Linked DNA regions of Lepisosteus oculatus. The protein of the gene in region 1 purifies or fractionates together with the protein of each later gene. This does not show direct contact. Links are inferred from orthologs where the notes say so. Each region holds a gene or a part of one and is shown in the gene's direction. Other genes may lie near its edges.

What was found.
Region 2: the proteins of skp1 (region 1) and fbxo36a purify together in Homo sapiens (affinity purification with mass spectrometry; 3 studies listed by BioGRID and IntAct, with this or other methods). This does not show direct contact. The link is inferred for Lepisosteus oculatus from reciprocal best matches to the Homo sapiens genes SKP1 and FBXO36.

The regions. Positions count from the first base shown.
Region 1 is NC_090706.1:23,941,188-23,948,844, forward strand, and holds the start of skp1 (S-phase kinase-associated protein 1), read left to right. Parts: upstream 1-4,603; 5' UTR 4,604-4,714; intron 4,715-5,448; coding exon 5,449-5,545; intron 5,546-6,246; coding exon 6,247-6,320; intron 6,321-6,889; coding exon 6,890-7,033; intron 7,034-7,657. UniProt on the Homo sapiens protein: Essential component of the SCF (SKP1-CUL1-F-box protein) ubiquitin ligase complex, which mediates the ubiquitination of proteins involved in cell cycle progression, signal transduction and transcription.
Region 2 is NC_090708.1:16,106,210-16,113,986, reverse strand, and holds the start of fbxo36a (F-box only protein 36), read left to right. Parts: upstream 1-4,715; 5' UTR 4,716-4,751; coding exon 4,752-4,847; intron 4,848-7,777. UniProt on the Homo sapiens protein: Substrate-recognition component of the SCF (SKP1-CUL1-F-box protein)-type E3 ubiquitin ligase complex.

The DNA.
Region 1 (7,657 bases):
ATCGGTTTTCTTTAAAAGTTGCCAGAAACTAACCGGGTTCTTTGTCGAGTTTTAATGGCTGTTTGTCTTTTTAAAACTGGGGTTGAATCAAGCTGTTTTATAACATCCCTTCTCTTTGGATGCAATCTGGCTTCAATTATTTAAATATCAAACGCTGAGAAAAACTGGAATGGCTCACGTCCAAATAATGTAAGCAGTTCTTGAAGAAAGGCAGCAATTAGAAGAACTGTTTCCATGTGTGACTACCTTTGTGATTCCTTTTCCATTTTGAACAAATCTGTTCAATTTCCTTCTGTATAGATTATTAACAGAAGTTGAAATTGTTTATCAAATTAATAATAGTTCTGACGAGATAAAAGACTGACATTTTACTCTGGTTACATAAAATAATCAGAACCTAGACTCAATTATTTGGATTTTTTGTTTGTGAGCCAGACCTCAGTTATTAGCTCACATTTTCACCAGATGAATGCAGATGCAGCTTCTAGGATAGCTTTTGTCTCTCATGGGGAGCTATGGGGCCCTGCATTCAATTCCTGGGGTGCTGTCTGTGTGGGGTTTGCATGTTCTCCTTGTATTCACATTGCTTTCCTCCCACAGTCCAAAGACGTGCTAGTAGGTTAAGTCTCCTGTAAAACTGGCCCTGGTGTGAGAGGGTCTGTGTCTGTGTGTGCACTACACTTGACTGGTGTATCCTGCCTTGTACCCAATGCTTCCCAGTAAAGGCTCTGCTCCACCATCCTGATATGGATAAGCAGTTATTTAAATCATTGGTGGTGGTGATTATGGTTAATTCATGGTAAACTCACACTTGTATAGTGCAAGAATAGCTACATCTCTCCACAGAGTATTACACCCTATCACATTTTACTGGTCACACGTAAATCAATTTGTAGAGACTTCAAAGTATATGTGACATTTGAGAAATTAAAAAAAGTGAATTTGTTTAATTAGGAGAGGAAGGCTGTCAGGTGTGGTCATCACCCCAGTTTGGGCATTCACCCTTTATGTGTGCTGTTCCTTATTCACTCACTTGATAAACCAAGAAACTGACAGACAGTTCATGTTCTGGGAGTCAAAGCCACGCCACACCAACCCAGGAAAGTCAATTCCATATGATCCATCTGCAGGGTTTTCAGACTATAGTGGCTACAGCATGAGAAATGGCTCGAGGAACCAGTGCATCAGTGCAATGACTGCAGCCCATCGACTGCATTTGCATGATCTGCATACTTCGTGGGGTAATGTTGACAGCCAAGAGGTGAAATCGCCATCCTCTGATCCAGAGCACAACTTTGGTGGTGCTGAAGAGACTAGTGGAGCCATTTTGCTCTTCACAGACCTGGTGGTAGTGGGTGTGTGGAAATGTCGGGGTGAGTGCTATGTTTATTGTTGAGTTTTTCAAGCCAACCAGTGGGGTGGTGAATATTTGAGGACTAGAGTAGGAACCTCTTTCAACACAAGGACACCTCTGGTGCAGACTAAGGGACACCTTACTTCTCAGAGCTACTTTGATCAATTCTTTCCGTTGCAATAATAATAAAAAACATTATGTTATGTAACGCCTTTAAAGGTGGTTCTCAAGGCGCTTTACAGAACAACGGGAAGATTAAATACACAATGAGGAGACGGTAGATGGGAGTACTGAATACGGTATATGCAGAGGGGTATATAACAGAACCAGTTAAGTAAGAGAAAGGTTTTGAGTGTAGATCTGAAAGATTTTAGGGAAGGTGACTCTGATATCCTAAGGGATAGAGTTCCAAAATTTTGGGGAACAACAGGAGAAGGCCCTTTCACTCATAGTGTGTATATGGGCTTGGGGGACAGATAGGAGACCAGAATTAGAAGAGTGGAGGTTGCAAGGTGGGGGTAGGACGATGGTAGCTCAGACAGGTACTGAGATGCTAAGCCATGGAGAGCCTTACAGGTGAGCATGAGAATTTTGAAGTTGACACTAAACCTGACTGGAAACCAGTGCAAGGACTCCAGGATAGGAGTAATGTGATCACTTGCACTTCTGTTATTCGCTGCTACAGGACGGTCTTGAATTGTTGGCTTTTTTCACAGAATGACAGCACATCGCTCAAATTCCTATGGTACCCCTTAACGAACAGGTGAGATCTTGCCATTGTCATCTTTTTTCTCCTGTTCTGAGCATCTTTTGACATCTGTGGGGAAAAACAATGTCATTGACAGGAGACAGCCCTCCGCTACTTGCTGAGTTTGCACAGGAAGAGCGAGAGAATATCTGCTGTATAAGTCAACACTGCAAGCCATGTTTGCATTAATGTGCAATGGAGTCATACCCGATAACTCGCAATGTTTTTTTTACACTGTCACGTTTAAGACTGAACACTTGTCATGAGTACCTGATCTGTAATCATTGATCTGGTGTGTGTCTAAAAGTGTTCAAGATTCACAAACTTGTCGATATTCTGTATTCTTTCTGTAGGTAATTGTTTGCTGTTTCACTTTGGGATTTCTTGCTGTTTCACTTAAGGATTTCAAATCTATGTTTTCCTTTAATAATTCTACTTGGGGTTTAGAAATCTAAAAGGATAATATATGTGGAATAAAAATATGGTGGTGTGATCCTTACACATTTTGAAGATTACTCCTGCCATCTGGTGGCCAACCGGCCTACATCTGTCTCATGTTCCAAGTGTCTTAAAAGTTGAATTACGCAATTATTACTAGAAATGTGGATTCACACTTAATTATGATTCATTTAAAGATTAACCCCAAAGATTATAAAGATTATAAACATGAATAGAGTGTGAAAGAAGTGTTTTTATGTCCATATCACATTAAATAGTAGAAACTTGATTTTCTTATTTAGACTTAGACATTTTACCACCATGTTAATGTATTCACTACCACATTGACTGTTTAGATGCTGAAAAGCATTATTCATTTTGCTGTTAGGAATTTTGGCTGATGGCTTACATCGTCAATTCATTAGCACTTCTGAAAATACAAAATATTTAAAGAAATATATTTATTCTAGAGGGGATATTGGTGAAAGTATCGTTGAATCGTTTTCTAATTTTTGATTGTCAAATTGGGTACAAAATTCTTATTTTGTCTTACAGATCATTCAAAGAAATTCACTGAGATTATAAAAGAGCACTCTTACTGAAATGATTGAGATAAGTGACCACATAATTCTTTATCACAGGGACAAGCAATATATCTCTAGTAGGGCAGGTGTGTCTAGTGGTTAACTATGTGTCTTGGAAATAGCAGCACCTGAAGAGCTGGAATATTGTTGATGTGGTCCTATTAAGTCAATAATGAGCTGATTTAGGATAAGATCAGAGATGGAATAAAATCCTGAAGACTCACCAACAGTCCTGCACCAGGATTGGCCACACCAGCAAACATAATTATCTAGTTAAGATAGTTAAAAAATAAATCCATCCATTTTCTAACTGCTTCTTCTAATTCAGGGTTGTGGAAGAGCCAGAGCCTATACCCGCAAGCAACAAGGGTACACTCTGGACAGGATGCCAGACCCTCGCAGGCAGGCAGACAGACACATACACACACTCACATTCACATCAGGGCATGTTTTCCAAAAAACCAATTAACTTACCAGTGTGTTTTTGGACTGGTTTTGGAGCACCTGGAGAAAACCCATGCAAACCCCACGCAGATAGCATCCCTGGTCTGGGCTCAGTGGTCTGGGCTCAGGGCCTAAGAGCAGCAAGGCAGCAATGCTAACCACTGCACCACTGTGTCACCCAAATACAAAATAAACATCTTGGCTTAAACCGGAATTGTCTCTTTTTTGGAAATAAAAGTAATCTGAACGTGCACTGGTACTGGTATGACATTCTTCAACAATAATGGGGCATTGTTATTGTTCACTTTTAATCCCCATACACACAACAGAATAATAAAATTAGAAATGTCAAATTAATTTCACTCTGTAGTGATAAGGCAAGTGGCAGGAAGAGCTACAGGTGAACCTAATCAACACAAATTTCCTAGATATGAAAAAAATCAGAGGCAACCTATAACATCAAATTAGTTATTACATCATTATACACATAACATTATTATAATGTATCCAAATCTAGTTATCAGTAACAATATAATTTATTTTTTAGCTCTCATCAGTGATTTACGGGGTAGATAATTATTTATCTATATGAATCAATCCCAAATAATACAATGTTTGATGGAATAAATCAAAGGACTCAGGTTAAAAAGTGACTCAACTCAAACAGTAATATATTTATAGCAGTATTTTTTTTCGACAAGTGGCAAGAATGATCGGATTATTTAACAATACAGCCGATATTTTACAAACTCAAAATTGAAAGGATCAGAAAACGCAAGACCAAGAGGTTTCGTTTTGAAAAGACACATCACTCCTCCATTTACTGCATATTCTAGAATAACGCTGATTGCAGTCTGGGTGATTGCCTGAACCATAAATAAGAAGATATTTTAAATCAGAAAATCTAAAAGTAAAGAAGTAATATTATTTTATAAATAGTCAAACTGGTAATGTTTAAAACTAATGCAACGTCAATCAAATTAAAAAAAACATAGACCGCCGTGACATAAATTAAACCGGCAATATCAGAAGACAGCTAACTTCGTCGTCTTTCGCATACAAAAGCAACGGATTATAGTAGTAGTTGCTGTATTTGGGCCTTGCTATCGTGTCGTCTTGTTTTTGTGAAATAATACCATATTCACCGTAAGTCAGTAGCTGAATTGATATGTATACTATACGTGTTTTGTTGTTTTTTTTTATTTTAAGCAACCTCTCAATTTATCTGTCTGGCTTAAAACAACAACTGCTTACTGTAATGAATTACTGTTGCTAAGAGAGGCCTTTCTCGTGAGGCGCTTTCTTTATCGAGAAACGTTCCGTGTTGACGTTTAAATAATTGGCTTTTTAAATTCAGATATGTTATATAAAAAGTTCTATTATGGATTTTTAGCCATAGTGGTGTGTTTCTAAATTAGCGAAACCTTGGGTATAAGTGGTGGTAACGATATTAATGGCATTCTTCAAAATGCTAAGGTAGAAAGCTAAATTGGTTGTACAAAGAGCAAAGGGTAGTCTTTACATTATTTGTATAGTGAAACCTGTAAAGGCATATTTAAAAGACCTTCAAATTGGTCTCTTCTGTATATTCGTGAGCTCAGTAATATCGTGTCCGCTTAGTCTGTTTTGTGGCTTCATTACGCTGAAAATCATGCATCATCATTATGACAAGAATGATTTTTTTTTACGTACACATTCAAATCCGTTGACAAATAACTTAATACTGAAATAATGGTAGTACTCAAACGTCTCGATTACTAAATATGTTCTGTTTACTTAAAACATAAGCCGTTTCTGTCCAGTATTGAGGTGCTTGGGGCTAAATACAACATTTAGTTTTAGCTAGATGTCACAAAATCTCCACCATATTTACTTTTCAGATGCCTACTATTAAACTGCAGAGTTCTGATGGAGAGATATTTGAAGTTGATGTTGAAATTGCGAAGCAGTCTGTAACCATTAAGACTATGTTAGAAGGTAAGAAGTTCACATAAACTCCTGTGTATGACGTTTTCATTGTTTAAACTGTTAAAACATGAATTTACAAAACCAAAGGAGATTTGTGAGAGGAAAGAACTTCTCAAAGCAGTACTTTGTAGTACTGAATTTGTTACTGTTAAGGAAATATTTTTTTTTCCTCTCAAACATAGCATGTTGCTGTAGAAAACAAGGGACTGTTGTCAGTTATCAAGAATTTTACATTATTTTGTTATAGTTATTTTGAATAACTGAATTTTGGGGAAGCATAATGGGCCTTAGTTTAAAGTTTTTTAGATAAGGGTCTGAGAGGATACATATAAGCTATATTTTTAAGGAGAGTGTCCTAGTTGTAATATGCTCTGTTCACTTTTTATAATCTGCAAAAGAAATAAGATTTTTTACTGTTGAGAATTGTAGTGTACAGCTAGAAACAAGTTTATTTTTAGTGGATTATGTAGAGGATTGCATAAAAGAAAAGCTTGGAAGTTAACAGGTTTATTTCTTCAAGGACAGAAGTTTGTTTTACCTTTTTTCCCCAGAAGGGGAACTGTGAAATGAATAATTGCAATGGTTGCCTAGTCTGGTTGTGTAAACAGACCTTTGGATCATTTATGGGTCCTCAGAATTTTAGAAAACCTGCTGGAAGGTAGATCTCATTTTCTGACATTGATATACTGTGTTCGCTAATTTTGGCACAGACTTAGGCATGGACGATGAAGGTGATGATGATCCTGTTCCACTTCCCAATGTTAATGCAGCTATTCTGAAAAAGGTAACGTTTTTTATTTTCTAATTTTAAATACAGTATGTCTGTACATATGGCTAATAAAATGGTCTTATATACAATTTCTTGCATTAGGAATTTGTCTTTTCGTATACCCCAGCTTGCTCTCCATGAGACATAGAGACAGGGAAAAATGTTTGGGGGTCAGAGCGCAGGGTCAGCCATTTATACGGCGCCCCTGGAGCAGTTGGGGTTAAGGGCCTTGCTCAGGGGCCCAACAGAGTAGGATTCCTCTGCCGGCCACAGGATACAAACCGGCAACCTTCCAGCCACAGACACAGATCCTTAACCACAGAGCCACCGCACCACCCATGTCTTTCCACGGGATAGTTTCTCATAATGAAGTAGTGAGTGTAGCTATAACATTTCGGCTGGATGTTAGATTAGCCCGTAGTTCCAGGGAATTCTGTTTCTTTGCTATGTTCTGGTATGTACTGTATGAAATGTATCCATGCTCCCTTCAGATAATTACAATTGAAATTAATAATATATATGAATTTATCTGAAAATTCCTTTCCGATTCCTGAAAACTTGTTTTTCTCCTTTTAATTGTTTAGGTGATTCAGTGGTGCACTCATCACAAAGATGACCCCCCTCCTCCTGAAGATGATGAAAACAAAGAGAAGAGAACAGATGATATCCCTGTGTGGGATCAGGAGTTCCTGAAAGTTGACCAGGGAACACTTTTTGAGCTTATCCTGGTGTGTATTATTAATTCTTCATTGGGTTTGAAAAGTGTGAACATTAATGTCTTTGTAGGTTATTTCAGGTACTTAATTGTCTAAGTGTGTGCTTAAGAGTTGGTAATAATTAGTTAGAAACTCAATAAAATTAGATCACTAGGCTCCTTGCTTTTGTTGTAATTTATAACAGCAGTGCAAATAGTTGTCCACTGAAAATATAATCCAACTTAGTGATTCAACTGTAAAGCACAAATTGGTTTCTTCTGCTTGTTTGTATGAGTGACTTGTGTTCTGTAAAAGTAGTTTTACTTGTAAGGCTGTTGTGAAATTCTTGGCTCTGATGTGGCTGTTTTGCAATCAGTATAGCTGTCCCACTCCTGTTTTGTTATGTAATACATACTTAATTTGTAATCTGAGCACATTTGACCTTTGTGAACTAGCTTTAAATGCTTTGCATCTTTTTCCAGTACGTTGCTTTACAGAAGTCAGTGTCATCTTATACACAATCAGGAGTTGCAGTTTCTATTTTAAAGCATCAACAAATTCCTCACAACCTTCTCTCATAACTCAAATAAGATCCCGAAACAGAAGCAAAACCTTGTTTAATGATGCTTTTCCAATACTTAATCATTTTAACTTGGT
Region 2 (7,777 bases), on another chromosome or scaffold:
GACTTGAAATGTGAGCACAAATCTGTTCTGTCTGCCAACTGAATAATGTGGAAAGTGCACAGCAACTGATATTTCCAAAGCTTCAGGCAGATAATGGATAAGCTATTGATACCTTTTTAATATACCTAGATAAATTAAAGAATTGTTGAAACCGTTATGAATTATGTTTTTGTCAATCTGCTAAAAACACAGACAGAGACGCTGTGGTGACTCACAAATATATAATTTGTTGCATTAGCATATTTTTGTTCACATTCCTGCCCCAAGTGTGGAAGACAGGCTATAAATAAATCAAGTACAAGAAGCAACTTACCTTTTAACTCACAGCTAGTAGACAATCACTGAAATGTAATTTTCCTGCTTGACAAGCTAATTGTTTTACCTAAATCTGGATGAATATTTAGTAGTACTTACACAGGGCAAAGTTAATGCTTTTTGTACTTTAAATGCTGATCATGATGACTGATGAAGTTCAATATGTACAAAATCCAAGTAAACAAAAAACAATCTACTATGCACTTTACAGGAACCAAGACATATAGTCTCTGATTTCATTACATTAAGTTTAATAGCTGAACTTTAAGAATCATCTCTCAAAACAGCAATATGCAACTTCAGCCATACATCATTCAGTTGACATGGGGATTTGAATGCACTTGTTATTACATTATAACTCCAGTTTGAAATTCACTGATATGTTGCTACGTTTTACTATTAACTTTCGCTGCTCTCAATGTTTTTCATTTTACAAAACAGCCACTTCTCAATACTCCTAAAAAACAAGCCACTGGTGGCTAGCTGGTAACCACAGCTAACACACAAAAGCACAATCATCCCTTTCCCCCATACGACATCAGAATAAAATTCCTGTTAACTCAGAAATGCTAAACCTTTTCAAACAGTACAACCCTTTCCATTAAAAATAGATTAATTCTACAAGGTCTTTGTATGTTAACGGCCTTACAAATTTAGTTTTCCATATTGTTTCATTTTTAATTTTTAATAAAAAACAGTTTTGTTTGAAGAAATTCAAAACACTCAACAAAGACAAACCTAACTTGAGGATTACCGGGGTACAGAAGTCACTTTGTGATTTAAGCTCACAACATAACCAGGTGTACGACATAATGAAGTTTAAAGATGTTCTGTACCTAAAATGTCATAAATTCCCTTTGCCATAAAACAATCATTTGGGATGACATAAATAATGTTTTTCTATTAACTGTGAAGGGTCTGTAACTTATGAAATTGTCTGTCTGCAAAAGTGCAAGCTACAAACTGCAGTATTTCAAAGAGATCAGAAATCATCACAGACATCAATGAGCATCGTTAACTGTTGACTACATCAAGATACCCTGTATGTGACCCAATAAAAAGTAGCCAAAATAAAATTGCAACTATATGTTACTTTGCAACAAAGCCAGACAACTGATTAGCTGTGTCACTTTGAGAACAGAGCATTAAAAGGATAGACCTGTGTGTCCTCCATGCAACATGGAAGTAAGATGCTAAGGGATTTTGAGTCCAAATATAAGTTGCAAAACACACGTACACTAGGAAGGCACTGTAGCGCAGTGGTTAACATTGCTACCTCATAGCACTAGGGCCCCTGGCTTCAATTTCTGGGATGGTAGCTGCGTGGAGTTTGTATGTGTTCCCCAATGTTCCCATAAGTTTCCTCCCACAGACCAAAGACAATGTAGGTTAACGAGATCCTGGGGATAAAAGCTGGCCCTGGTGTGAGTGAGTGTTTGTGTCTGTGTGTGTGTCTTGTGATGGACTGGCGTCCCATCCAGGGTATATCCTGCCTTCCACCGTTTGCTTGCCAACATAGGCTCCGGCTGCCATATGACTCTGTATTGAATAAAGAGGTTAAAAATGGCTGGATGGATGTGTATGCTGACCCCCATGAACACTACTTTCAATCTTTGGTCTCAGAAACATTTGGTGATGACATGGCAGGGTAAAATTTTCACAGAGGGCTTCATAAAATTATCTCAATTAACACACTGATCTACTCATACTGTTCATGAAGCAGCACTATTGTTCCGAGGAACCAATATGGTATCCTTCTAATGATTAATGTACTTTTCGTTGGGGCTTCTGGTGCAAATTGCATAGCAATGAAGCCCATTCTCACCATGACTCATAAGTTCCTATCAGAAATAGTCAGGGTGGACAGTCTGTGATGCCGCCTATAGTCAACTGAGTTAGAGAGAGCTAAGTTTGCTCTATGAGTGGAGGCCCACCAACACCTCCAGAAGAACTTCCTCAACTGCCCTATGAGAATAATAAAGGAAGATCTCACAAGCAATAATAAGCTTCCTTGTTTAGAAGATTAACTTATAATAAGTCTAAGTTTAGCTAAACTGGATTGTTCTGCAGAGCTATGAAGTAGCTGTTTAACACTCTAACGGGGAATATTTTGATCTTGCAGATGTGGTTTTGTTCAGCCACTCAGTGTTTTTGATTATCATTCTTTTGAATGTTATAATTGATTTCATAATTTTCAAGATAGAAACTAAACAGTATATACAGTACCCAACCCCTTAAGAAGTATACATGCAAATTCTAAACTGATGAGACCACTCGGACAGTTAAACCAGTACATGGAACTAGTCTGACAACTTCAGAAATATCCCAGTATTACCAGTGTTCCTTAAAAGCACATGTAAGAGAAACTGATTTACAGTGCAATAACAGTAGATCAAACTGTAAATACAATGTGTGGGTCAGAGGCGTCTTTGTGGGGAGGGGGGGGATAAAAGCTCTGGAAAAAGAACATGTGTCATGAGTAAAAATACTGTTTTAATCCATGATATCCGAGGCAGGTCAGCATTACGAAATGCTTACATTAAAACCCAGAAAGATGATTACGCGAGATTCAACCACACGTAAAGAAAAAACATTGTTCGACTCCAGGCTATAATTCATTAAAAACGTTTTACTAATGTACAGAACTATAAATTTACACTGTAATAACCAGTGGTCTCAAAGAAAAAAATACTCTGAAAATACGACAATTATTAAGGCCCTACGTAGGCCGCCAGATCGTTCCTCGTCTTTTGTTTATGTTAGTAATATGTCCAGACGATCTCGGAGTTAAGTATATTTCTTTATAACTCTGGTTTTTGTTCATTCAAACCCATTCGCACCCACGTAAATGTTACTTGTCCAGACAACCTACACAAGAGTTTTTAATTTCTTTCTTTTCCTGGCCGAGGCCTTGCCGCTTACGAACAGCCTCGGTCTCGATTGAACAGATATGGCCAGGAAAGGGCTCTTAATCCAGATTCAGGATCTAGACTGAGCACGGCATCTTTGTATGTTGTGCAACGCTTTCACTGACGTTTACACAGCCCGAGTGAGCCCTAGATAAAGTGATGCATAGATTTAAATCATACAATTTAAAATACAAATCATGGTTGTAAAACAACAAATGAGATTAATAAAAGGTGAGCAGCCACCTAAAGCGTAATGGCCTTTATCTGTATACGTAGGTTTAAAAAGCTGTTGAGTGATCTTCCATACGCAAGGAATTAATTAAATCTGGGTCGTTTAAGAAGGAATTCTGTCGGTCCAGTTTAACTAGATCTACAACGTCCTCAGCTTTACTAAGAACGCGTCTCGTATCATATATCTTGATCATGTCTGCACCTCTATAAAGCTTTCTTGTCAGGACAGTTTGCTTGAACAGACGTATTTTCAGAGAGAAGAAGCTACGTAAACAAATGTTTTACACCCAGTGAGGTGACATTGTGTTGCAATGCAAAGTTTCATTTTTTTCTCGCGATCGCTATGACGGAGAAGTCGGCTGAATAGACCACACGAATTTTTAATTGTAAAAAAAGTGACACGTAAATATTTATAATTAACACATCGTAGTATGCGTTGTATTCACTCACTAGATCTCAAACATTCATTTTGCGCTTCTCTCGCACAAAGAGGAAAGGGCATGGCTGGCTTTTTTAAACAAAAAATGGCAATTTGTACAATTACAAAACGAAATGGCCTCTGAACCCCGTTTTCACTGCTTGCATCACAAGAAGAAAAAAACAGGAAAGCAGGAACAGGATTCGAGATGACAATTGGAATCCATATTTTTCGCGAAACTGTATCACCTCCCCACCTTTATATTTCAAGGTCCTCGCCTTCAAACGATCCCGTAAATACACTACACCAACGTTAGTGAAGGCTTGATAGACGATTGGTATTACCTATTTGTTCCAGTGTTGTAGTTGTTGTTACAGACAGTGCAGCAGCTCCACTCTCTCAGCTCTTACCTTCACATCAGCTGAGGGACCTGCAACTGCAGTATACCTCCGCTGAAGCGGCCCCCCTTCTTCCGCCAGGAACTACTTTAACTTAACAAGGAGAAAGGCAACTTTTATTCAACGTTTAAGGGCGTTTAACATTAAAAATGTAAGTATGAGAGTCCATCTTTGGCCTCTTTAATTAAAGATAACAGATCTATTATTCCTTTTAATCTGCGCTTAAAGTGTCTGAGAAATATCCCTCCGCAGGGTCATGACCCTGTAATATTAACAAACTGTTTATTTGCTTTCTGCGGTTTTTTTACACCTTGTCAGTGAGATCATTTACGTTTAATTAGATACCCCGTAAATGCATGCCTTTTCTATAAAAATCCAACAAATGTTTATTTTTTATTTTATTTGTTTTTTATTTTAGAATTCTAAAAAGAGTGGTCCGTTGTCCCTTTCGTTGCCGTGGTAACGACAAAGCGTCTAAACATGGCGTCATTGCTGGGAGAAACCGTGTTTGAAACGAGCGGCCAGGGTCCTGCACCTAACAAAGACTTTTACCAGTTGCTTGTAACAAAGACTGATGTAAGTAATATAAATGTGACTCGCAAAGAAAGTTATCGCACTGTAGTGTATTTTGTTGCTTATCTTGCACTTAACGTTTAAAAACAAAACATTGAGATGAGGAAGGTAAATAAACATCTGTACAGTTTGCTTCTATTGGGTTGTATGAATGTGTTTGTCTGTATATTTTATTAACTTAAACCTTATCTTTCAGATTCATGTAGTTAATTACTTTGAAAAGACGCTGTCAATTTGACCATTTCTACTAGTTTGGTTCCTATAGTAAAACCAGCTGGATCACAGAATCTTATCGAAGTTTGAAACATGTTTTGAAGGGTCCATGGAATTGGCTTCAACATCTTGACTGAGATGTGAAGACAGGCCACATCAGTGTAAAAATGGTGCTTTCTTTTTCATTCTTTAAATATACATCTTCTGTCCTGATTTATTGCTGAGCTGGATGTAACCCCTTGGGTTAACTGTTGATAGTTTTTAAGATTTGCAGCCTTGAATGAACCACCTGAACAATTTCCATTTTCATCCAACACTAACGACATTATATTCCTACTGTATATAGTATGTCTACATTTCACATCCACTTGAAACCAGGTGTATCTTAGTTTCCAAGCTGGAATGACTAGAAGCCTGTTTTTGTTTCTTCCACCAACAGTAGAATAGGCAAAATTGTAAATGTCTCTGACGTTTTAAACATTACCAACATCATTGCAGTTATTTCCATCAATCTTCACAAATGTGGTGAAGCACTGCAATGAACTACTGTTAGGGGATGTTTGCATGCAACAGATCAGTGCTATGCCTGAAAGCCAGTCTTTGCACTGGCTTCCTGTCAAATTCTGTGTGGACTTTAAAATCCTCATGCTCACCTATAAGGCTCTGCATGGCTTGGCACCTCAGTACCTGTCTGAACTATTATCGCCCTACTCCCCACCTTGCAACCTTCGCTCTTTTAATTCTTTTTTCCTATCTGTTCCCCAAGTCTGTCTACATTCTATGGGTGACAGGGCCTTCTCCTGTTATGCCCCCAAGCTCTGGAAAACTCTCTCCAAGGATATCAGAGAGTCACCTTCTCTAAACTCCTTCAAATCCAGACTCAAAACCCTCTTCTTTAGAAGAGCCTTTACTTAAGAGGTTCCATCCTATATACTACTATAGTATATATATATAAGTAAGTATCCTACTATACTTAGAACCACCATCCAAAGTCTCCTCTGTAAATCGTAATTGTGTTTTATCTTGTGTATTGTTTTTGTCATTCTGTAAAGCATTTATGTAAAATAAAGTTTAACATTATTGTCTCATGATACACCTTCACCTTCAAATGCAACTCCTCTATAAGCATTAGACCAATTGAACTTTGGTGGGTTTCTCAATAAACATGAGCTCATTCAATTGTGGTATTTCTATGCATTTTCAACAAATGAAGGGTGATGTGGACTAATCACTTTCCACATCAAAAGAACTTTTCTAACCTTAGTGGGGCTATAGCTGTGTGAAGGGAGTGATATTGGGGAAATGTGGTTATGTTGGCTGCCATGTTGGATTTTGTGAATTTTGGAAGCTTTTCAGAACTCTTCTTCTCATGAACAGTGAATGGAATAGCTGTGGAAATTTGTAGTTTAGCCCTCTCGAATACACTATTGATTCTATTTTAGACATCTGTTCTATTTTAAGATATCTATTCTATTTGAGACATCACATGATGTTCAACATGGGCCCAATGACCTCTTTCACCTCATCCTCTAGGATTTCTTATGCATTTCTGTTTTCATACAAAATTAACAGCACAAAGTGCACCCTGCTAAGTCTCTGCTAGATCATCTAAAGAAACACTTAAGAGAAAACCTTGCGCAGTGAACATAGAAGGATACAGACTCCTAAATTACTGCTTCTTTCATTGTCCCAGAGTGTCTTTTAGGTCCTTCAAAAAGTTCTCATTTACTGTCCATAGGGATGGACATCTAGTTTCTTCCACAAATATCTGTCTTCAGCATTGTTCACCAAGTTTAGTGTTTAATCTTCCCATTTTACAGCAGTTTTTTTTCCTCTACAACATAATTATTCAGCCAAGTTAATGCTTAGTTTTTTGGATTTTACATTTTTCCCTGAAATAGCCAGCACGTTTAAATTTAAGAATCATGTTTCCTCTGTATTTCAAATTTGAATGATTTTAGATTGATTCGTGCCATCAAAGACACCTTATTTGAGAGAATATTAATGAAATAAATGGTCTTTATTTTTAATACATTTTAATACATCTTTCTGCAGTGATATCCTCCAAAACAATGTGTTTTTGATATATGTTGTTATTTTATAAGAATATTGAATTGATATTTTTCATTTGCTATATAACTCAGTATCTTCTTTATTCTGGATTGATTGCTGACAGTTTCTGGAATTTGTGGGAGATTGTATCTGGGTAAAAATCTTAAATGTTCTTGATGTACAGTATGTTTTGTACAATATATATCAGTGTGTAGACATCTGCAATGTATTGTTCTCAAGCTTTTCATTATACTGGAAATTGCATATATAAATTCTATATAAAGGAAATTCTATCCCTTAATTGGCATGTTCGGAAATAAATATGCATGAGTTGAAATCAAGAATATTTAGTCTCAGTATAAATCTGTCATTAATTAGCAAAAGGGTCAATTGTGGTAAATGGTATATGGCTAGTGTCATGATTAAAGGGTTAAATCTCCAGAGAAGAGGCAGTAGACAGTCTTTGTTCATCTTAGAATCCCTTTTTACTATAATAACATGTGACAGCCGCTGAAATATAGGATGAAATGTGTCTATGGCAACCAGTACATGGGGAAATGCTAATGACAGGTCATAGTCCGCTTTGACAATATTGAATGAATATGAAATAAGATAAATGGAGAATATCTCTACTTTTTTTTGTATGTTTTACTTTTTACTGGGGGGGC